4 linked regions of the Drosophila melanogaster genome follow. The protein of the gene in region 2 purifies or fractionates together with the protein of the main gene of each other region. This does not show direct contact. Each region holds a gene or a part of one and is shown on either strand. Other genes may lie near its edges.

What was found.
Region 1: the proteins of Lsp2 (region 2) and CG4390 purify together in Drosophila melanogaster (affinity purification with mass spectrometry, with the first as the bait; one large-scale study listed by BioGRID). This does not show direct contact.
Region 3: the proteins of Lsp2 (region 2) and Tsf1 purify together in Drosophila melanogaster (affinity purification with mass spectrometry, with the first as the bait; one large-scale study listed by BioGRID). This does not show direct contact.
Region 4: the proteins of Lsp2 (region 2) and Pglym78 purify together in Drosophila melanogaster (affinity purification with mass spectrometry, with the first as the bait; one large-scale study listed by BioGRID). This does not show direct contact.

What each region holds. Positions count from the first base shown.
Region 1 is NT_033777.3:20,055,735-20,062,029, reverse strand, and holds CG4390 (uncharacterized protein), read left to right. Parts: upstream 1-2,279; 5' UTR 2,280-2,334; coding exon 2,335-2,463; intron 2,464-2,738; exon of another isoform or gene 2,739-2,977; coding exon of another isoform or gene 2,978-3,218; intron 3,219-3,285; coding exon of another isoform or gene 3,286-4,012; intron 4,013-4,070; coding exon of another isoform or gene 4,071-4,176; exon of another isoform or gene 4,177-4,282; intron 4,283-4,539; exon of another isoform or gene 4,540-4,588; intron 4,589-4,655; coding exon 4,656-5,519; 3' UTR 5,520-5,612; downstream 5,613-6,295. Other genes in the region: mdlc (midlife crisis), read right to left, coding at 2,978-3,218, 3,286-4,012, 4,071-4,176.
Region 2 is NT_037436.4:12,127,394-12,132,544, forward strand, and holds Lsp2 (larval serum protein 2), read left to right. Parts: upstream 1-1,999; 5' UTR 2,000-2,016; coding exon 2,017-4,122; 3' UTR 4,123-4,476; downstream 4,477-5,151. Other genes in the region: Ir68b (ionotropic receptor 68b), read right to left, coding at 1-1; CG34241 (uncharacterized protein), read left to right, coding at 706-735, 792-1,010; DEF8 (differentially expressed in FDCP 8 homolog), read left to right, coding at 4,830-5,151. UniProt on the Drosophila melanogaster protein: Larval storage protein (LSP) which may serve as a store of amino acids for synthesis of adult proteins.
Region 3 is NC_004354.4:18,385,198-18,391,328, forward strand, and holds Tsf1 (transferrin 1), read left to right. Parts: upstream 1-1,886; 5' UTR 1,887-2,751; coding exon 2,752-2,851; intron 2,852-2,926; coding exon 2,927-3,169; intron 3,170-3,376; coding exon 3,377-4,472; intron 4,473-4,534; coding exon 4,535-4,919; intron 4,920-4,982; coding exon 4,983-5,084; 3' UTR 5,085-5,147; downstream 5,148-6,131. Other genes in the region: Nt5b (5' nucleotidase B), read right to left, coding at 5,598-5,735, 5,801-6,131.
Region 4 is NT_033777.3:29,146,475-29,150,897, reverse strand, and holds Pglym78 (phosphoglyceromutase 78), read right to left. Parts: upstream 2,651-4,423; 5' UTR 2,449-2,650; coding exon 2,346-2,448; intron 1,890-2,345; coding exon 1,392-1,889; intron 1,330-1,391; coding exon 1,163-1,329; 3' UTR 997-1,162; downstream 1-996. Other genes in the region: eIF2D (eukaryotic translation initiation factor 2D), read left to right, coding at 1-958; CG11882 (uncharacterized protein), read left to right, coding at 2,844-2,947, 3,018-3,705; CG14511 (uncharacterized protein), read left to right, coding at 4,097-4,423.

The sequences.
Region 1 (6,295 bases), on a different chromosome or scaffold from region 2:
TGTTGTGTATTATTAACGGCCTGCAGTTCAGTGGGCTTCATTTACACAGTAATTATGGCGCGCTCTTAATTGTTCGATTTGAAACTAAAGTTAATCCTTAACGATAGCATACGATACATACCTATAGCTACTCGAAAACGAGCGAAACTTAACAGTGAATGGGCCATAAATTATTGGGAGTCAAAGCGTAAACTACGCATGGCAAAGTTTGGCCAACTTTAAGAATGCCGGGCCAGCAAGTCCTCGGAGTCCTGGTGATGGAACGCACAGGCAATAACAATTTATATGGCCCGGACTGACATTTCAACATGGCCAGGACACGTACTGAAAGTTCGGAGCTGGCTAGGTCGCTCCACGAGCTGTATCATTCAAAAAGGTGCTGCAACCTTGGTGCGGACAGGAGGGCATTTAGAAATTAATGATAATTGACACAATAAGCGACAAGTTGAGCCCGAGTCCAGGGAGCAAATCCAGGGTAGGGGGACACTTCTGCCCTTACCATCCCATCTAGCCGCTGGGATAATATAATAGTCAATGACATTAGAAGCCAATAAATAAAGGCGAATGAAAACAAACAGCGTGCAGCCCAACAAACGTGCAGATGGGTACAAGATGGCCCTTGGGTACATATGCACAGGAAAAAATGATATATGTATCTATACACTTAAAATTACACACAATTTTACATAAAAGTCTTAAAAGATGAATATTAAACTTGTTTCATAACAAAAATTAGGGTATTATAGTCACTATATATATATAACTTCTATAGTTCTAGGAAACTGATATTGATGATTTCTATAGTCAGAATTAAACTGCATGACTTAAAACTATTCTACCTCTTACTCAAAAGGGTGTACTAGTCCCATTATGAAATTCGACGAATGTAGCATTTCCGACTTGATAATATTGTGAATATATTTATCATAATTTGAAATAAATCCCTAATCAGTCTATTACTCAGACTCTTTTAAGCAGGAATGAGGATATATGGTAGTCAGAGTCCTTTAGCATTCCTTCTTATGTATCTTAACTTTCAGCTGGCAATATAATTTAAGTATAACTGAGATAATTGCAATGTTAAAGTACAAAAACTTAAGTAGGCTTATATTTAATTTAGTATCATTGCTAGTGAGCACACAAAGCTCAATGTAAACAACATCAAGATGATGTTTCGAGAACGAAACCATGTTCCCCGATTTCTGGAGGCGTCAAACTCATTTAACGCCTAATTACTTTGGGGCCGAGACGCAATCGTGTGAGCAACCGCACACAAATTTCTAAATCCTAATTAGGCGGAAAAACTACCCATCCTGCCCGGAAAAGCAACCCAAATCCCCTGCCTACTTATTGCGCTTTGGCAATCAAAGCCGCTGACAGAAAGTATAAAATTTCAGAGCTCACGTCTGCCGCTCACTTTCGCATTTATGGAAATAATTAAAACTGATTTGCAGGTCGAAACAATTATTGCCTCCTCCTCAATTAGGTTGCGTTCTTCATGCACGACTTTGTCATTCAATTAACCATTGCACTGCCAATAAGTGAGTGGCACATAAAATGTGAGAAAATGCGAACGTGACCTAATAGCCGTGAGCCAGCTTGATGATTGTTATCCTTGGAAAAATCCACAGCAGAGGCAAATTTCCCTACTGCAGCAATTACCAGCATCTGAATAGTGGCTGTCTTAAAGAAATGTGAATGGTGTATACAAACGAGGTAAAAGTATTATGCGTAACCAGAGGAACAGGCAAACCTTCTGCATAAACCCCTCCAATAAAATCGGCTCGACATTGTGGCAGCTAGGATCCTGGAAAATAGAAGTTTTATCCTTTTTGCTCATCCTGGGCAGCTGGGCTGCTTTTAAAGGCTTATGTGCTCATATTTTGCATGCTCGGAGCTAGGGAAAAAGGGTGGGCAGAGAAGCCGGATGGATTTTGGAATTTGTGGCTAAGCATCGATTCGTTACCACTGGCCAATATTTCGGCTTTGTGCTGTGAAACAATGCGGCCTAGAAGTTTGGCAGGAGGTTTTGATTTTAGCGGGCAAAAGTCAAACGAATTCACTTCCGTATAAGTTTGGCCCGCTTTACTACGTTTCCCAGCTTCCAATTCCCCTACTTTCTGTGCCTGTGCTTTCTGATGCGAGCGAAACGGGAAATGAAAGTGCTGACAATTAAATTATGGCTATAAGATTGGGCCAAAATTTTGCCGCTTCAAGAAGGCAGTAGTTTCAGTTGCTTGCCAAGTTTAAATTTGGTCAAAGTTGGCCTTTGATCGTTTCAAACGTCAAGCAATACTCGATCGAAATCACAAAGTTATTGCAGCTCCCTTGGGAATGGGAAGAAATTTCCTTCGTCTGCCCAGTGTGAGTGGTAGAAGCTCATTCGTATATTCCATAGTCGCCTGTTCAAATCTTCCCAAGCGACGGAGCATTGTGCTCAGTTTTGGCCACATTATGACCGAGGTGAGTAAGGCTTTTAGGTCCTGCGGACTAAACATTAATATAAAATCCTCGTTGTGATTAATTTTATAAAATGCTTTTCACGATTAACTTTCCAGTCCCGTCCCTATGTATCAAATTTTAGTATGAATTATAAATAATAATGAATACATACATATATACGTGTTAAAACAACTTACAGATGAACTGCTGTGCATAATTTGTATGTTAACCAATCGTAATAGATCGCCCAAAAATAAGTAAAAATTTTAATAAATACCACAGAACTAGTATTTCTTGGTTGAAAACTTATCAAAATATATTTTTCTAGTTACAAGTAAGAATAGTGATTTATCAGCAATTCTCTTTGGGGCAAAGGGTTTTACAATTTCTTACACGCCACCTATCGGTGGTACAATCCTTACTTTACTTTCTACACTTATGCGGCAAATGTGCTGTAAAATGGATTTTATGTGAAGCATCTAATCAATGTCCCTATTTACTTTCACAACCTGTATAAATGATTTAAAAAAATATTTTAATCACTATCATCCGAAGAAATCTCCTGAGCTTCCTCCCCTGCTTCCGCTTTATCCTCCTTTTTCCCAAATTCCTCCTCCTCATCACTATCTGAGTTTTCCATTGGGTTTGTCTTGAGGCGAGCTATCAGCTCTTTGGCGGGATTGAAAATACCATTTGTTTGCTGGGAACAGATGATGCAGCGCTGTGACTTTTTGTACTGGGCCAAGGCGCACTTTTCACAGAAATAGTGCTTGCACCTGGAAGAAAGATAAATATGTTATTTATTCAGTAAATCCAGTTTAGAAATCGTTATCATCTTCATACTTTGTTACCACGGGATTGACAAAACTCTGTCGGCAGATGTGGCACTTGAAAGGCAGTGTTTCTTCATCGGAGTGAATCTCATACTTGGTATCATCGCCATCGGAGTCTACATCACCCGTTCGCTGATTTTCGTGATCCATTTCCAATTGCCAGCCCGCTTTGTAATCACTGCGATCGTGCAGAAACTTACAGCTGTCGCCAAAGCCGCAATATCCTGTTTCCTTGTAATCCTTGCATATATCCGGCTGATAATCCCACCTGACAGTGGCCCTAAGATGGGCAGGAGCCCTAATTGGGCCACTTCGTACCATTCCGGAGCTGGCATTCCCTGCCGCTGTATCCTGCTTCTTGTAGTACTGCGCATAGTTGTTAATTCCGCGATAGATCTTATCGTCCGCCTTGCCCTCCAGCTCTTCGTTGATTTTCAGAGCTCGCGCATGAATTGCCTGCGCATCGCGATCCAATTCTGTGTCCATTTCGTTAATCGATGTAGCTCCCTGATCTTGGGGTCCACTGGGCAGCGCCTCGCGTTTGGATTTGTACGCAATGCCCAGTTTATCATCGTCGGAGGCTGAGGATGAGCCATCATCACCAACTCCTCCCGCCTGTCTCTTTGCTTTGCTCATTGTCTTGGTGCTCTGGAAGTTGGGATTCGTGCGCTTTCGGCGGTTCTCGGCTCGCACCAGAGCACTGGCTTTGCCTTTGGTCTCTTCATCGCTGCTTTTTGCTGGAATATCAATAATATTTGCCCATTTACTTTGTTGGCGGTAAAATTAAGTTCCTACCAGATTCATCACTGCTGGTTTCCTTTTTGCGACGAATTCCAGCTCCCTTCTTGAGGTTCCGCTTCTTGAAGCCAAAGGACGAGGTGCTAGCCGCTTCTTCCGACATTCTCCGGCTTTTAAATTTATGTACTTATCTAGTAATTCACGTTAACAACAATTAACAATAGCAATTTCGCCAACTGGCGCTTCTTCTTCCCGGCTAGTGATGGTACTTGCGTAACAATCGTTATGGAGTTAGTATTTTTGTATGAAACGGGCACATTAAAATTCAATGTTTACTTATGAGGAATATATTCGTTTGTAATAATTGCAATTTTTACATATTTAATACATCATCAATATGTAATAATTAATAGATTTATATTAATTTAAAGAATTCTAGAAAATATTAACTCCTATGGGATCTACCCTTTTAATCATCGATACCAAGATGTTCTGAAAGCTTCCCACTTTTGGCGCTCTACACGCGGTCACACTGTTTTCTTATCGCTTGTTATTTTTAGATCGTCAAAAAACAAGTGCGTTTTTAAAAATTAATGGATTTCAGTTTTAGCTTACAAATTATTTACTCCGTTTCACCCCCAGAACATGACGCTCGAACAGCTGTCCGCAAATAAGTGCTTCGAGGGCGAGCAACGCGTGTATCGCCATCGCTCGGACACCTTGAAGTGCGACATGACCTTTGGCGTCTTCCTGCCGCCGGCCGCTTTGGAGGGTAAACCGTGTCCGGTGCTGTTCTTCCTCAGCGGACTGACCTGCACGCATGAGAACTTCATCCAGAAGAGCGGATTCCAGCAGCACGCCGCCCGCCACAACCTGATCGTCGTCAATCCGGACACTTCGCCCAGGGGCGTGGAAATTGCCGGCCAAGATGATGCATACGACTTTGGAAGCGGGGCTGGATTCTATGTGGATGCAAAGGAGGAGCCGTGGTCGAAGCACTACAAGATGTACAGCTATGTGACCCAGGAGCTGGTGGATGTGGTCAATGCCAATCTGCCCGTGGTTCCCGGTAAACGCGGTATATTCGGCCACAGTATGGGCGGCCACGGAGCCCTGATCTGCGCGCTTAAGAATCCCGGGCTGTACCAGTCGGTGTCCGCTTTTGCGCCGATTGCCAATCCCACCGAGTGCCCGTGGGGCAAGAAGGCCTTTGCCGGCTATCTGGGCTCCAATCCGGATGACTGGGCCCTGTGGGATGCCACGCATCTGGTGTCGCAGTACGAGAGCACTCCGCAGGAGCTCTTCATCGACCAAGGTGCAGCAGACAACTTCCTGGCCGGCAAGCAGCTGCTGCCGGAGAACCTGCTGGCTGCCGCAGATGGCAATGATCACATCCAGACCATCTTCAAGCAGCGCGAGGGATACGATCACAGCTACTTCTACATCGCCACGTTCGTCGCCGAACACATCGCCTACCATGCCGCCCTGCTCACAGCTTCCGCTTGATGATATTCCGCTTGTACATAATCGTTGGTTTCCACCGAAACCATAATTCAACGTAAATTTGGCAGTAAATAAACCAATTTCGACTGAGCTTCTAAAATGTATTCTTACATTCTTGACTTTAAACTTTGAACTTGGACTTTGAAAAACAAATATTTTTATTCATTCTAGGTGCCAATGTACAGAAGATTATACACAAATGGCGTGTACTTTGTTATTTCGGTTTTAAGTTCAGCAATTTCCTTTCACAAACAAAAACTTAAGTAATGGGTATTCAGCATTCGTCGAATTCCTAAGGACTTTTTCCCGGACTTGTGGTAAGGGTAAAAGCTCGCAACGTAGTAAAAGCTTTCCGGTTGTTGGTCCACGGCATGCTGGAAACTTTCCGCATCCTGGCATCCTGCGTACGATTCATTCATCAGTAGAAAAAACGCCGTCTGATGGAATAGATGTGCTAGTGACAGAGGGAACCGAACCGAACGGAGGTACCAAAAGGCGACATTCTCGACTCGTTTGGCGCCATATTTACTAGGACCAATCGGAGTCGCCAGCTCTGTATTTGCGTGACTGCGTGTGTGCGCGAGATAGTCCTGTTTTTTGGACCCCCCTTTGTTTGTGTAACTTCGCGCGCTTTTGTGTTTTATATACCAACGGGTCGGAAAATCGGGTACCAAAAAAAGGGATTTGAAAAGGCGTGAGATTTGCGGCCAGCTGCTGGACGACTGCCAGCGGACTGAAATCTTAATTAGCCATTTAATGGCAGTTGGCACACAACAAAG
Region 2 (5,151 bases):
TGTTCTACGAGCAGACTAACCAGTGAAATATCCTTTGGGTGAACACAACACCTGTAGAGGATTTCCCATGGGAGCCGTAATTCCCAATTAGGAAAAGCGATGCGTGAGCAGTTCATTAGTTGGCTAATATTTTTGGGGTAACTTGAAAAAAGTTATCAAAACTTGATTTCTACAAAATAATTATAAAAGGAATAAAAGGACATTACAGAAAATGAATGAAAGTAAACGGAAGGTTTGCAATAAAATGGGTTTTTTTTTATTTGAGTTTCTAAAAAGCAATAAGATTATGCATTTATAAAAGAAATCATTTTCTTTTGATTAGCAACTAAACATTTGAACAACATTTTGCATTAATGTATACTTCTAATGATAAGGTGTTGTTTATTCTAAATCGGATGAATCATATTTTGAAGACTTTGCGAATGACGCAGCAATGTGATCACCTTGAATAGACGAGACTCATATGTTCTCGAAGTCTGAATAATATAAAAATATATATTTCAAGATATACCAATACCAATTTCAAAACTTGAAACGCAAATCTAAAAAAAAGTATGCCATGATTATGGTTTCGGGTTTTCATAAACTATTTTCACCCGTTTCGGTTAGGTTTCTTTTCATATCTTTCGAGTAACCGGACAAAATCATTGAAAAATTTCTAAATTTTCAAAATTTGTTTATTTCGAATATAAAAGTTTTTTAACCATGGATAGGGGTACGTCTTCAAATCAGCCCGTAAGTATTTCATTTCTCTTTTGGTCTTTCAAATTTATCTCCGTGCTTTTCTGTAGATCCTGACCACCTGTGAGATGTATCCGCGCCGAAGGAACACGGAGTTCTACAGATCCCCGGAACCGAGAGTCTCCTGCCAAAACCAACGAGCGGAACATCCGGGGCAGATGCTCAACGTGACTCCCGACGAGAATCGGGAGGCCGTACGAAGACTTCCACGAATCCAGCCGCCAAATAATTTGGATAGTGTTTATCTACGCAATGGTTACTTTTCGTAAAATAAATTTTGTAGATTCTGTGTAAACTAAAATAAAGATATGTACGTATAGATATACTAATGAGATCATATGCATTTGCATAGAACGTCATAATTTCCTATCCTGTAATCATATATATTTTTATTTTGAAGGACATTTAATAGCAGTATAAAAACCGAGGACTGAAATGGGTCTGATTGATTGATATGTTCTCCATTGACCTGCGGATCATTCGATGGTCCATTGTTCTTTGTTGTCCGGGATTTGTTGTCGCAGCAACATGATGCTCCGTGTTTTGCAATTCGGAATATTTTTAGCATTGATAAAGAATCGATGCGGCGAACAAAGCAAACTTATCAAGGAAGCCGCCTGGTAACACCTCAATTGACAGGAGATCAGGTGGCCATGTAATCTTAATCACTATTTGAAATAGGTTAATCAAGGGGGCCCGTCAAACACCTGTTGTTGATATGTGTGAAAAAAGCACGATCATCAGTTTGAAATGGAAAAATGGGGAAAAATGAAAGTCATTACACGGCGACAAAATAGGTGTACCAATTCACGTTTTTAATGTGCTGTGGTATGAACTTTTTAAGTTGACAATGCAAGTGGGTTTGCTTATAAATAGTATCAATGTAATCGTGATATTTTGGGCATTCTTTTTTTTAGACTCTCCTATTTAGACAGCTGGAGAAGGTGTCTCTGGAGCGAGGAAATCTTAACTGGATCTTCCAGCTGCTTCACCTAACCACCAGTTTCTAGTGGCTCACTCTTGAATTTAGATAATGATGTAGGATTGATCTTGGTATGGCCGCCTAATCGTCGGTCTTATCACCTGCAATTATGGATGCAGCATGGGCGCTAAGATTGAGAGCTTCGCGGGTCGTTCAGATCCGGCGATGGCGCGGATCAAGGCTACGGATGCGACCGGTCATTGGCCGGATTGCAATCTGCGTATCGCCGATCCGGGGGTATAAATACTGGCTACCGATCATTGCAGCGTTACGATTCGAATCGACTCGAGAAGATGAAGTCGTTCACGGTGATTGCGTTAGCTGCAGTGGCATTGCTGGCTACTCTCGGCCAGGCCAAGCACCTGGACTCCAAGGTGGCGGACAAGGACTTTCTGATGAAACAGAAGTTCATGTACCAGATCCTGCAGCACATCTACCAGGACGATGTGTTCACCACGCCCTTCGGGGGCAGCTACGTGGAGTACAAGCCGTGGGAGCACGTGGCCGACTATGTGCACCCGGAGATGTTGGAGCACTTCTTCGAGCTGTGGCAACACCAACCCTTCACCGATGACATGGTGTGGTCGGTGATGTACGACAAGCACGAGGAGTATGTGGTGGGTCTGGTGCGTCTCTTCTACTTCGCCAAGAACTGGGAGACCTTCCAGCACGTCGTCTACTGGGCCCGCCAGCACGTAAACAAGCAGTTGTTCGTGTACGCCGTGACCATTGCCAGTTTGTTCCGTGATGATATGCAGGGAGTCGTCCTGCCGGCCCACTACGAGATCCACCCATGGAGCTACTTCGATAGCCAGGCACTGGAATGGGCTGAGCACTACAAAATGCACGGCTTCCATCATGTCAAGCAGATGGACAACATCTACAACGTGGTGATCCGTACGAACTATTCGAACGTGCACGGTTCCCTGAACTACGATCACGATTTGGCCTACTACCTGGAGGATGTTGGCTTCAATGCCTTCTACTACTACTTCAATCTGGACTATCCGTTCTGGACGAAGGGCGGCGAGGAGCATGTCCTTAACAAGGATCGTCGCGGTGAGCTCTACCTGTATGTCCACTGGCAATTGCTGGCCCGTTGGTACCTGGAGCGTCTGTCCCACGATCTCGGCGAGGTGCCCGCTTTCAACATGTATGTGCCAACCGAATCCGGCTATGCCAGTAACCTGCGCACCTACTACGGCGTACCCCAATGGCACCGGGAGAATCACCACAGCTTCTACCACGAGCACAACTACGAGCACATCGAGCATGTGGAGATGTACACGCAGCGTGTCATGGACTGGATCCACAAGAACGAGAAGTTCGATGTGGAGACCATCAATGTGCTGGGCAACATCATCCAGGGCAATGCGGACAGCGTGGACAAGAAGTTCTACGGCAGTCTTGACAAGCTGTACCGCTTCATTGTGAACGAGGGCCACCATTATGGCCATGGTGACGAGAGCTTCCCTGGCCTTTTCATGCACTACGACACCTCTATGCGCGATCCGATCTTCTACGAGGTATACAAGACCATTGTCAGCCACTACTGGCATCTGATGGAGACCTATCCGGAGTACCACAAGAAGGATTACGCCTTCGAGGGTGTCCACATCGATGCCGTCCACATGCCCGAAAGTCTGACCACCTACTTCGAGCACTTCGACTCGGACATCAGCAATGCCGTCAATGTGGAGCCCGCCGTTGAGGGATCCGCCGATCCGTTGTACACCTTCGGCAGGAACTCCCACTACAAGGGATCCAGCTATGTGATCAAGGCCCGCCAGCAGCGTCTCAACCACAAGCCCTTCGAGTTCACCCTGGACGTGACCTCGGACAAGGCTCAGGATGCCGTTGTGAAGGTCTTCATTGGACCCAAGTACGATGAGCACGGACACGAGATCCCACTGGAGCACAACTACCAGAACTTCTTCGAGCTGGAGCACTTCAAGGTGCATCTGGAGGCGGGCGTTAACCACATCAAGCGCGCCAGCGGTGACTTCTCCTTCTGGGTGAACGATCGCACCACCTACCTGGAGCTCTACCAGAAGCTGATGGACGCCACCAACAGTGACTACAAGTTCAAGCTGGATCAGTCGGAGGCCCATTGCGGCGTGCCCAACCGAATGATGCTGCCGCGCGGCAAGAAGGGCGGCCAGGTGTTCCAGTTCTTCTACATGGTCTACCCGTACCACCAGCCCGAGGTTGCCCAGTTCACTGGCTACGATCCGGTGGTCAGCTGCGGCGTGGGACACGGTTCCCGCTACGTGGACGCCCTGCCCTTCGGTTTCCCCTTCAACAGGCCGGTGAAGCATGACTACTACTTCGATGTCCACAACTTCAAGTTCGTCGACGTGAAGATCTTCCATCGCGACGAGCACACCAATGTGGTCTAGATCCTGGACCCAACGAATACGAACCCCAAAACGAACCAACGATATTGGATAGATTACATATGTTTTCCTTGTTATATCTTTGTCTGCATCCACTTACCCCATAGAGATCGTAATTTAACTCAATTTTTACCCAGCTTGTCAGTCCACCTTGTGACCATCGAACAATAAACGTATTCAACACAAGTCACTCTCTTTTCAATTTTTCAAAATATATTTTTGGTTTTCTAGTTATTTTCCTCTACTTACAGAATATATGTAAATAGAAGGAACAATAGAATAAAGGGCTTATTGATACTAGTTTTAAAGCCTACAGTTTTTAGCAGACGAATTTTCAAGTTAAAAATAGGCATTTTTATCTGGAATAAACACAATAGATTGTTAGATTTCTTAAATTACAATTTAATATTAAATGGTAAAATATGGTAACAAAAATATTTGCTTTATGCAAACCACGCTTGACATATTTCAGAATATGGTTTCAAATTGTATCATATTTTAAAAATATTAAAAGTTAAATTCAAAATATTTATAAATAATTAACCCTCACATTTTTTCTTTCACTGTATTAAGGTGCATTCCAGGGATGCGTACAACCACCTGCAGTTTGCCCCGTGAACGATAACTAGTTCGCTCATCTGCACCAATTGCTCGCATCCCTGGTCGCTAAAAAAACACACAAAGACTTGTTTTGTTGTTCTTCCCCAAAAATGAGCTCCTGGAAGGACAGTCTCACGAGCATTCCGGGCACGGTGGCGCAGTTGATTAACGAGAGCGCCAGCAACCTGTTACACGCCTCATCCACGCTGGGATCAACAGTTGGCCTTGGAGGCTCTGGCTCCACTGGATCTGGATCCGAGGCCGGAGGCTCCGAGGAAAGTGGTCCACAAGGTGCGGAGTACAGGGCGTTGCCCATTCCCGCGTCCTTGGTGCGCGAGCAATGGCGCCTAATCTTCACCAGCGATGCCAATATCCAGGATTTGCAGGCGGCCATCGCCCATTGCAGAGATCTCGTCCTGCTGAGCGAGGAAC
Region 3 (6,131 bases), on a different chromosome or scaffold from region 2:
CAATGCTAACAGGGTGTGACCGTGCGCGGCGCCGTGCGGAAATGCCACGCGAGTGCTGCCAGGGCTGCGCAGTGCTCTAGCGGGGACGCACACCGCCGGCCAGCAACCGCTTCGGCTAACAGCGGGCTGTTGAGCGCACTTGGCGCGCTTTTCAAACGTTTTGTTATTTGATTGTTATTTATCATTCTTATCATTTTTTAGTTCAACAAGTTTAACATTAGAATGTACAAAAAGCAGATGCACTTAAGCTCCACAAATGTATAGCTGGAAATTTACTTGCATTGCAGTGCTTGCATCTACAGAGCGAGTGCTGTTAAGTTACAGTGTCTTTTTCGCGCCATAACTGCAGTTTGAAATGCTATGTAACTATGTAAATGCATGCCAAAAATGTAAAAAATGAAAAGTGTTATAAACAAATTATTCTACATTAAGTTAAAGCTAATGAATTTTTCATTTCATATATAACACATTTAACAAAATATTATTTTGTTATATACTTTTATTTAAAATAGTAAGTATCACTGTTTCAAAAATGCCATTCGATTTGCAATTTGTACTTAAAATAAGTGAGTAGCAGTGCTTCATTTTTATCGCATACAATTTCCCTGATGAATGCCTTTTCCGTGCGGTTAAATAATGCAACGAAGCTTTTGCGCTGACAAACACACTTTGTGCTGGGCGTAGCTCCATTACCTCCCTTCTATTACCTGGCTGCAGATAGCCTCCGTGCCAGAGGACTGCTGATAAGAGGCCACCTCGGACTACTCGGAAAAATCCCCAACCCATTGCGATCCGGGTAAATTCCCGACCGCTCCGGGGCTCTTGACCTTGCCCAGTGCGAAGTGTGTGTGTTTGCATCTGCGGCACTGCCAAGCAATCTAATTCGGTTTCTGGTTTCGATTCCACTAGAAAGATCCCCGCCCACGCCCACGTCCCAAGTCCCACGGCATTTGCCATTGTGATCTCGTTTTGCACTTCATCATTCAATTGCCGCCCCCGCGACTCATTGCCCAGCCACGCCCCCTCCCTCAAAGGAGGAGGCACGGCCTGCATTTTAAGCAGTTCGTCAATTCTCTGCTGGATGTGGACAGTTCTCCACAGCTCCTCTTCGTTGCTCTTACTGCAACGAGCCGGTGCGGGTGACTAGCTAGGTGATCTGATCCCATCGTGGAACAGGTTCTGTGCCCGGCCTGAATAAACAAATGCCCTGATAGCGGGGCGAAATTGAAGTATATAAAACTAGAGACGAGTGCGAAAGCGAATGTGAGTGATATGCGAATAGCGCATACTCTCACTTTTTGCAGAAGCTTAAATGAGCTCCAAGTTTATCCACTCGAAGTTTATCCCCTGCATTTTTAGGAATATAAAACAATTTCGCATAACATATAAATCTAGATTTTGCTTGCAAATTATCTAAACGCAGTGCAATCATTTAAATTATCATAATAAATACTTGCACTTTTCAAATTGGCCATCTCAAGATCGTAGTTATGCGTCCAATTAAAAATTCAAAAAATATCCCCTCGGAGTGTATAAATAAAAGGCAATTACTCTTAATTTGTTTACTTCCAAGAAGAGTGAATTTAAAGTAGCCGAATCATTAGATGAATGCAAATGCAAATGAATGATGAAAAATGGGCTGGCAAAAACAGAACTAAAATAAGTGACTAAAGTACGTATGCCCCTGGGACTAAGGGCTCGCATGATTAACATCCATGGATTGGGAATGGATGGGGATGGGGTGGTGGCTGGCTCCTCGTCGCTCCCACCGTGGTGACTCAACCGGTTGCTGCAACTACAAGCGACTAGAGAAGATTTTGCCCGTTTATTTGGCAGGGTAGTGAGTTCTTAGAAATTGAAGGCACCAGTGCATTTATATAACTCAATAGGCACAAATAACCAAGTGCCAGTCGGTGCGGTGGCATCAAATTATTCAGGTATATAGTATATGGCTCGATCGATTAGGGGATCAAGTGCCAAGACAATTAAGTGAAGAGCAGCCAGGCCGTTTCTATCTCGATTTTAGCTGTATGTCAGCAACTACGCTTTTTGACAATCGCAATCAAATAGTTAAATAGGCTATTTTTAAAACCTATTCACTGCAATTTTTCCAGCTTAAATGTTCGTAAAGAATGTGCTTAAGAAATTAGTGTGTGTGCCTAAATAAATTCTGTCAAGAGAAAGCGCTGGCTCAATGAATCAATGGCTCAATGGCTCATTGTTTGATTATTGCCAAGATCCAAAACTAATTACCAAACACACAAATGCTGCAGGCTAAATTCTGATTTTGATCGATTATATTGTCGATTATATATACTATATATTGTCTCGAAGACAAGCAAAAAGTCGAACTTAAGGTAGATCATGGATTGAGTAGCATACTAATTGATTTGCGAAAATCGCATTTAATGGCATAGCCATATATCAGTGTCGCAAACTCGTTTGCCGGAGTATATAGGCCTGGATTGCCGCCCACTCACGCCTTTCCTCGGGGAAAAACCGGTCGCCTGGACTGTCTTTCTTTCTTTATTGTTATGATTGCTATTATTATTATTATTACTATTATTATTGGTATTGGTATTGGTATTATTGTGCCTCCTTGTCGCCGGGCAAATAGAAGCGAAAGAGAACAAATACGAGTGCAAAAAAAAAGAGCACGAAAGCCGGGGAAAGAAGCAGCACATCTGGGTGGCTATAAAAGCCACCAGCCGGCTCCGGATTCTCCACAGTCGAGCTTCAACTGTTTCTCAGATGATGTCGCCGCATAAGACCCACACCTGGCTGCCACTGGCGGTGGCCGCCCTCCTGCTGATCCTTGGACCGCAGTCCTCCCTGGCGGAGGAACCCATTTGTATGTGCATCCCGGAGTCACTAGTTGAATGCATCTAACCAGTTGAATCCATTTCATACGAACCCAAAACGGCAGATCGCCTGTGTGTGCCGCAAATCTATTTGGCCGAGTGCCAGCAGCTGCTGGCCGATCCCTCGGAGGCGGGCATCCGCATGGAGTGCGTGGCTGGACGGGATCGAGTGGACTGCCTGGAGCTGATCGAGCAGCGCAAGGCCGATGTGCTGGCCACCGAGCCGGAGGACATGTACATCGCCTATCATCGCAAGAACGAGGACTATCGCGTGATCTCTGAGATCCGAACGCAGCAGGACAAGGATGGTAAGTGGTGCAAATGCTCGTGGGAGCAAAATGCGAAATGCTTTCGAATGAAATTAAAGGGTATTTAAAATGTATAGTACTGACTAATGACTAATGGCCCTTTGTTGTTAATTTGCGATTCGAAGCAAAAGGCTCGAAGGACCAAAATAGTTACTAGTTCCCTTTTTTTTTACTCATAAATCTCCTACTGGTTTCATTTCTCGACAGCCGCCTTCCGTTACGAGGGCATTATCCTGGTGAAGAAGGACTCCCCCATTCGCACCCTGCAGCAGCTGCGTGGCGCCAAGTCCTGCCACACTGGCTTCGGCCGCAACGTCGGCTACAAGATCCCCATCACCAAGCTGAAGAACACGCACGTCCTGAAGGTGTCCGCCGATCCGCAGATCTCCGCTACGGAGCGCGAACTGAAGTCGCTGTCCGAGTTCTTCACGCAGTCGTGCCTGGTGGGCACCTACTCCACGCATCCGGAAACGGATCGCCTGCTGAAGAAGAAGTACGCCAATCTGTGCGCTCTGTGCGAGAAGCCGGAGCAGTGCAACTATCCGGACAAGTTCAGTGGCTATGATGGCGCCATACGCTGCCTGGACAAGGGTCAGGGCGAGGTGGCCTTCTCCAAGGTGCAGTACATCAAAAAGTACTTTGGTCTGCCGGGTGCCGGCCCAGATGCGCCGCCAGCGGAGGGCAATCCGGAGAATTTCGAATATCTGTGCGAGGATGGCACCCGGCGCCCGGTCACCGGACCCGCCTGCTCCTGGGCCCAGCGCCCCTGGAGCGGCTACATCTCCAACGAGCAGGCCGTTCACAACTCGGAGCAGCTGCACCAATTGCAGTCGCGTCTGGAGCGCTTCTTCGCCAATGGACTGCAGGCGCAGAACAAGGACGCCGCCGCCCATCTGCTCATCCAGCCGAATGCCGTGTACCACAGCAAGGATGCTGCCATCGATCCCAAGGTCTATTTGGAGCGTGCCGGCTACAAGGATGTGATCGAGCGTGATGGCAGTGCCATCAGGAAGATCCGCTTGTGCGCCCAGAACGACGACGAGTTCGCCAAATGCCAGGCGCTGCACCAGGCTGCCTACGCCCGCGACGCTCGTCCGGAACTCGAGTGCGTTCAGTCCACCGATTGTGTGGTGGCTCTGACCAAGAAGGAGGCGGATTTGACCATTGTTCGCGCAACTGGCTACGCGGATGCCCGTAGCAACCAGCTGCAGCCAATCGTCTACGAGCAGAGGGCTCAGGATGATGTCCTTGTGGCGGTCGCAGCACCCGGCGTTACACGGGAGGCTCTCCAGAAGGCCAGCATGTAAGTGGAATCCCTCGATCATCCGTAGCACATTAGCTACATATACTATCAATATTCCGCAGCAAATTCAATGAGAATTGCGAACGATCCCGTGCTGCTGCCGCCTTGTTGAACAAGCGACGTGGCCTGGACGCTTGTCGTGTCTCATCCAGCGACGATGGAGAGGTGCAGATCGTGCCCGCCTCCGAGCTGGAGAAGCACAAGGACGCGCAGCTGGTGTGCCCCAGTCTGGAGCGGCGACCGGTCACCGACTTCCGTGACTGCAACGTGGACGTACAGCTGCCCCGTGCCATCTTCATCCGATCGGACACCACCAGCGTGGAGCAGGAGACAGTGAAGCATCTGTTCTCGCTGATCTCGGACAAGTTTGGTGCCCGCGGCAAGCTGGTGGATGTTTTCGCTCTGTTCGGCGAATTCCAGAAGGGCAAGAAGAATGTGTATTTCAACGTAAGTTATCCTCTTTCCTTATTTAAGCTTCGGCGTTTAAAAAGAAAACAACTTTCTCTGCAGGACAAAGCCGTTCAGCTCACCACGGAGCTCAAAAACGAAATCCAGAACGAGCAGATCTACACAGATCTCCAGTGCAATGCTAACAAGATTGCCAAGCAGTGATCACATTTTATACTACTAGATCCCACTATCTGCATCAATAAAATTTAATTCGAATATAAACAGATATCACGTCTTAATGCCTACTTAAGGGAAAATCGAAAAAAAAAGTTTAGACCTATTAAATATGGCTAACTAGTTACCAAATACAATGCTACAAAGTTTCCCAGCCAATTGGCTTTTCACACCACTCATGAATTATTCAAAACGAATTGTTCTCATTCAATTACAGCAATTTATGGTTTTCATTTTTAAAAAAAAAAGACACATTATATGTATGGAACCAGCTAATTTATAATGTATAATGTATATATATATATATCGGTTATGGTATATAGTTTCACATATCTGTGCTTGGGTAAAATCGCCAGGGAAAATCGTACGTTTCATAATTGCTTCGACCACGGTGTGGATTTCGGGTAAGGGTTTGCAAGGCTAATGGGGGCATTGGGGAAGTTTGAGAATAAAATTCGTTGATCCAAACATTCCATTCCAGAAGGGCGGCTGTGGCATCATCTAGTCTTCGGAGGCATCGCGCACAGCCTCTGTGGAAGACTCGGCACCACTGGGTGTCTCCTCCTCCTCGGAATAGTCCTCGTCATGGGTGTGGGTCACCACGGTGGGCGTCGACGGACGAGTGTGCACAATGGAGCTCTGGAACAAGAACAAGATTCGATTAACAATGGTCTAGATTATAATCATAGTTGGCAAGTACTTACTGCGCGATGCAAGTCCTTGGGGTCCTTAACGTGCTCGGCGGTGCCCGCCAAAATGCGAGCCGGCTCATCCGGCGAGGCAGCCACCGATGCGGCTCCCGTAGCCGGAACAGGAACAGGGCCCAGTGGCGGAGGCGGCTGATGGGCCTGATCATGGGCCACCGTCGACTCATGGGGCAGAAGCATGGCCGGAGCTCGGAACATATACGAGAATGGGTAGTAAATGAGGTTGAGCAGGGTGGCCGCATAGACGTCGGCATATCGCACCACCTGGCTGGAGAAGAAGGTCTGGCGCGAGCCGGAGCGGAAGAGTGAGCCCATCATACCGTAGGAC
Region 4 (4,423 bases), on a different chromosome or scaffold from region 2:
GGAAGCTCCCGAGTCCGACGAAGAAGCCGTGGAGGAAGCCTCACCAGAACTTATACTCAAGAATGCCTTCCTCTCCGCCTTGAAAAACCATGGAAAGAAGCTGCCCCTGCCTCTGCTGACGAGCAATTTCTACAGACTCTATGTGGTCACGGAGGCCACGGAGCAAATCGACCTGAAGAAGACGCGCTACAAAAAGCTCTCCAACTTTCTGGCCGAGATGGTGGACCAAGGATTCATTGTGGTGCGGGAGGAGAGCAAGGGAGTGGATAAAATCACATCTGTGGACCTGGAGCACCCCGAAGTGGTGAACTTTATAACCGATGTCAAGGCAAGCGAAGCTAATGGAGCGGCGTCCGAGACGCCCCTGTTCCACTCCGAGCTGAAGGAGATGTACATAGTGACCGATGTTACGGCGGCCTTCTTCACCAAGCTGAATTACAAGCGCGGCGAGGGAATCCCGGCGGGTCAGATCAAGAAGATTGTGCGGGAGTACGTGAGCAAACATGGTCTCCTCCATCCGCTGACCAAGCTGGTGCGCCCCGACGACACTCTGATCGAGCTGTATGGTAACAGAGAGGTTTCGCTAAGCGAGATGTGCTCCCTCATCACCAGCAAGATGGAGCACTCCTACCAGATGTGCAGCGGCAAAGATACGAGCGGGAAGCCCCTCATCCAGATGTCCCTGGCCACGCGATCGGGCAACAAGAAGGTGACGCTGGTCAGCAACATCGAGGCGTACGGCATCATCCTGGCCGAGTTCATCAAGCTGTGCAAGCAGGGAGCCGCCGCCAGCACCAGTGTGGTGAAACTGCCGCACCAAAAGCACGAGCAGCTGCAAATCCAGGGCAACCAGGTGCGATTTGTGCACACGCTGCTCACGGAAACGTACAAGGTGCCGCCCAAGTGCATCCTGGGCCTGGAATTGGCCAAGGACGGCAAGAAGAATAAGAAGAAGTGAGCCGGACAATAAATGAAGCCTCCTCCGCCTGTCCTCTTGAGTGTAATAATAAATTATTTATTAACTGTAGTGGGGATGAACCAATTACTGCTACGCGAACAACAACAACGAATGGGATTGGCTACATCTTGAACAGAAGCGTAATCAGAATGCTCTGACTTGTGCCGTATTTGAGTGGATTCTCATGAGGTGTGGCCTGCGTGCTTACTTGGCCTTGCCCTGGGCGGCCACAGCCTCGATGGCCTTCTTCACGGTCTCCTCGTCGCCGAGGAACTGCATGGACACCACCGGCTTGAAGTTCTCGTCCAGCTCGTAGACGAACGGAATGCCCGTGGGCAGATTTAGGGCCATGATGGCGTCCTCAGAAAGGTCTGGATTGGACAAGGATATGGTAAAAAGATGATATGATATATGTTATGTCTCCCATGCTCACTGTCTAAATGCTTGACGATGCCACGGAGGCTGTTGCCGTGGGCAGCGATCAGGATGCGCTTGCCCTCCTTCATCTGGGGAATGATGACGTCGTTCCAGTAGGGCAGTGTGCGTTCGATGGTCAGCTTGAGGGACTCGAACTGGGGGAACTCCTCGGGCTTGGGACCCTCGGCGTAGCGGGGATCCTTGACGATGTTCTCGTAGTACGGATGGCCCGGCTCCATCGGTGGTGGCGGGGTGTCGAAGCTGCGACGCCAGATCTGCACCTGGGCCTCGCCGTACTTGGCGGCGGTCTCGGCCTTGTTCAGGCCAGTGAGTCCACCGTAGTGGCGCTCGTTCAGGCGCCAAGTCTTCTGGATGGGGATCTCCTTGTGGCCACTGGCCTTCAGGATGCTGGCCAGCGTCACCTGGGCGCGGGTCAGCACCGAGGTGTGGGCCACATCGAACTCCAGGCCGGCATCCTTGACGGCCTTGCCGGCGGCTAGGGCCTCCTCCTGACCTGTTTGGGCAAATGTTTAGCGAACATTAAGTATACGCCGTGTTGGGTAACGAACGTAAGCCAATTTAATCTAATTGAAAGGCATGCGTTTAATTTAATTTGATTACTAGGGTTAAAAAAAGGCGATAACCTATCAAATTATGCTCATAAGCATAATCTGAACTTTAGAAACATATGAGATGGCAAATTTTTGACTTTAAAGTGTAACAAACTAGAATTTTGATGCTTCTGAAAATTGCACTGGAAAGCTTTTGTTTGTAGAGACCTATTTTTATCACAGAAAAGTTTGAATGAGATAATGTTGCACTAGGTCAATGAAGATTAATTTGGGTAAATGAAAAGGAATACTATTGTGAAACTGATCAAAGCAAAGGATCATCGATTGGAAACTAGATGTACATCAGATTTTTAATCCCACATATGAGGTTTAAATTTCAAATTGATGTAATCACTCACCCTTTTCGCTGAGGTTGGCGTCGTACCAGCCGCAGAACTGATTCTTCTGGTTCCACTCGGACTCGCCGTGGCGCACCATCACGATCTTGTACTTGCCGCCCATTTTAGCTGCGTTGATCACTCTGCGGATAATTGTGTACTCGTTCTTAAGCTGCCGCCTTGCTGCGACTGCAATATGTGGGAATTCTGCTGAAGTTTGACCTACAAGGGAGCCGTCCAAGGTCGCAGCTGTCAGGCCGCGATATTGCCGTTCTGTTGGAAAAACGTAGTGCGCAGATGCGGTGCCTTCTCTGATTGGACTCCGGAGTATGGTCTTATTGGAATAGCGCGTCAAGCTACCTTCAAATGTCCAATTAGTTTGCGCTGTGCAACAGGTTGGCATCCCCCGCGCAGATGTTATCGCTCGCGTTTGTCATCACTATATTCGTGTTTTGGTTTTTAAATTTGGCTGTTTTTAAATTTTGCTCCCATAAATTCCAACTTTTTGTCACTTAAAGCATGTGCGAAAAGGTCACCGCGCGCTGCACTTGGCCCCAGCTGTCGGGCAACGGGCTGGACCAACTGGTGGCCACCCGCTTGTCCGACGAAGACGTCTTTGTGAAGTGAGACAAAGGATTCCACGCCCCGAAACTGGTTTTTATCAAGTAATTTTGAAACCTCCTTTGTCCGCAGGCCCGACTTGGACGACGTGATCGACGAGAATCGCGCCGTGCTGTTTTCCATGCAGTCGGCGGATCCGCCGCCGCCTTGTGAGCTGCGCTTCCAGATCCCGAACCGCTTCAAAATCGCCGCGCTCACCCTGATTTGCAGCGCTCCCAAGGTGGAGCTGTTCATTGGACCCTTGCAGGAGTACTGCGAGACCATCTACGGCACTTGCGTCGACGATGAGGACCCAGAGGTTGCGGTGCGACCCTATCGCTATGACATGGAAATCGACCGATCCGGGATAAATGACATAAACCTGAAGATGCTCACCTCGGCCAGCGAGATCTGCGTTTACGGAGCCCTGCTCCAGGTGGCGCCGAATCCCAACGGCATAACCACCCAGTTGCCCAGGCCAATGGATGCGCAGCGAATCCAAGAGCTGCTGCAAAGGGGTGGCACGAGTCCCTTGAAGAAGGAGGAGCAGGCCGAAAAGTTCGAGCAGTTCATGAGCCTGATGAAGGGCTATTCCCCGCAGGCGAAGGACCAAACCCAAGAGACTGCACCGCCTTCCACCGATGTTGCAATCCTCAAGGAGCACATCGACATGAGATTTGAGAAGCTGACGCTGTTAGTGTCTAAGAGACTGGACAACTTCGAGGCCCAGCAGACGGAAAAGTTAAACAAAATTATTGCCTTGCTGGAAAAGGAAAAATAAGTAATATACCATTAATTTGCTAATCTGTAATTTCTTTCTTAGCATTGTCATCATTGTATTTTGTAATTGTTGTAAAAGACTGTTGGTGCGAATATTTCGAATGTGATTAGGCAACATATTTAAGTTTGGTTTTGAATGTAATGTACATTAAATAAAATATTCTTCTCTTAAAATCATAAATTTTTTCTTTTTCGCTTGGAATATTTGAATTTCAACCACTTTCGATAGACCAACATCAGCTGTGCCCGAACCGAACTTTATCGATAACCACCTGTTGCATTTGTTTACGTTTTGTATGGCCGAAGAGAAAGTAAGTTGGCTTAAAAGCTCGTCATGGCCCAGATCGTAGGTTAAAGTTGGTGGGAATCGTCTACTTTCGTTGCGCGAGTTCATGAATTTATCCATCCGCGCTATTTCGGCCATCTGCGGCGTTTTCTTGGGCTGCTGCAGTGGCGTCGTCTTCTTGGAGCTCCTGGTTAAACTGGATCCCGGCGCTGGAAACCTTATAACTGGCGCCCAGTTTGCATTTATTGCCCTCGAGGGCTTCATCTTCACCTCGAAGTTTGGCCTGGCCCAGAGAGTGATCAGCCTGCGCGACTATGCGCTCCTCGTGGCCATGTTTTTCCTGACCAGCGTATGCAACAACTACGTGTTCAAGTTCAAAGTTCCAATGACACTGCACATGATCATACGCGGCGGTTCGCTGATCTCCAACATG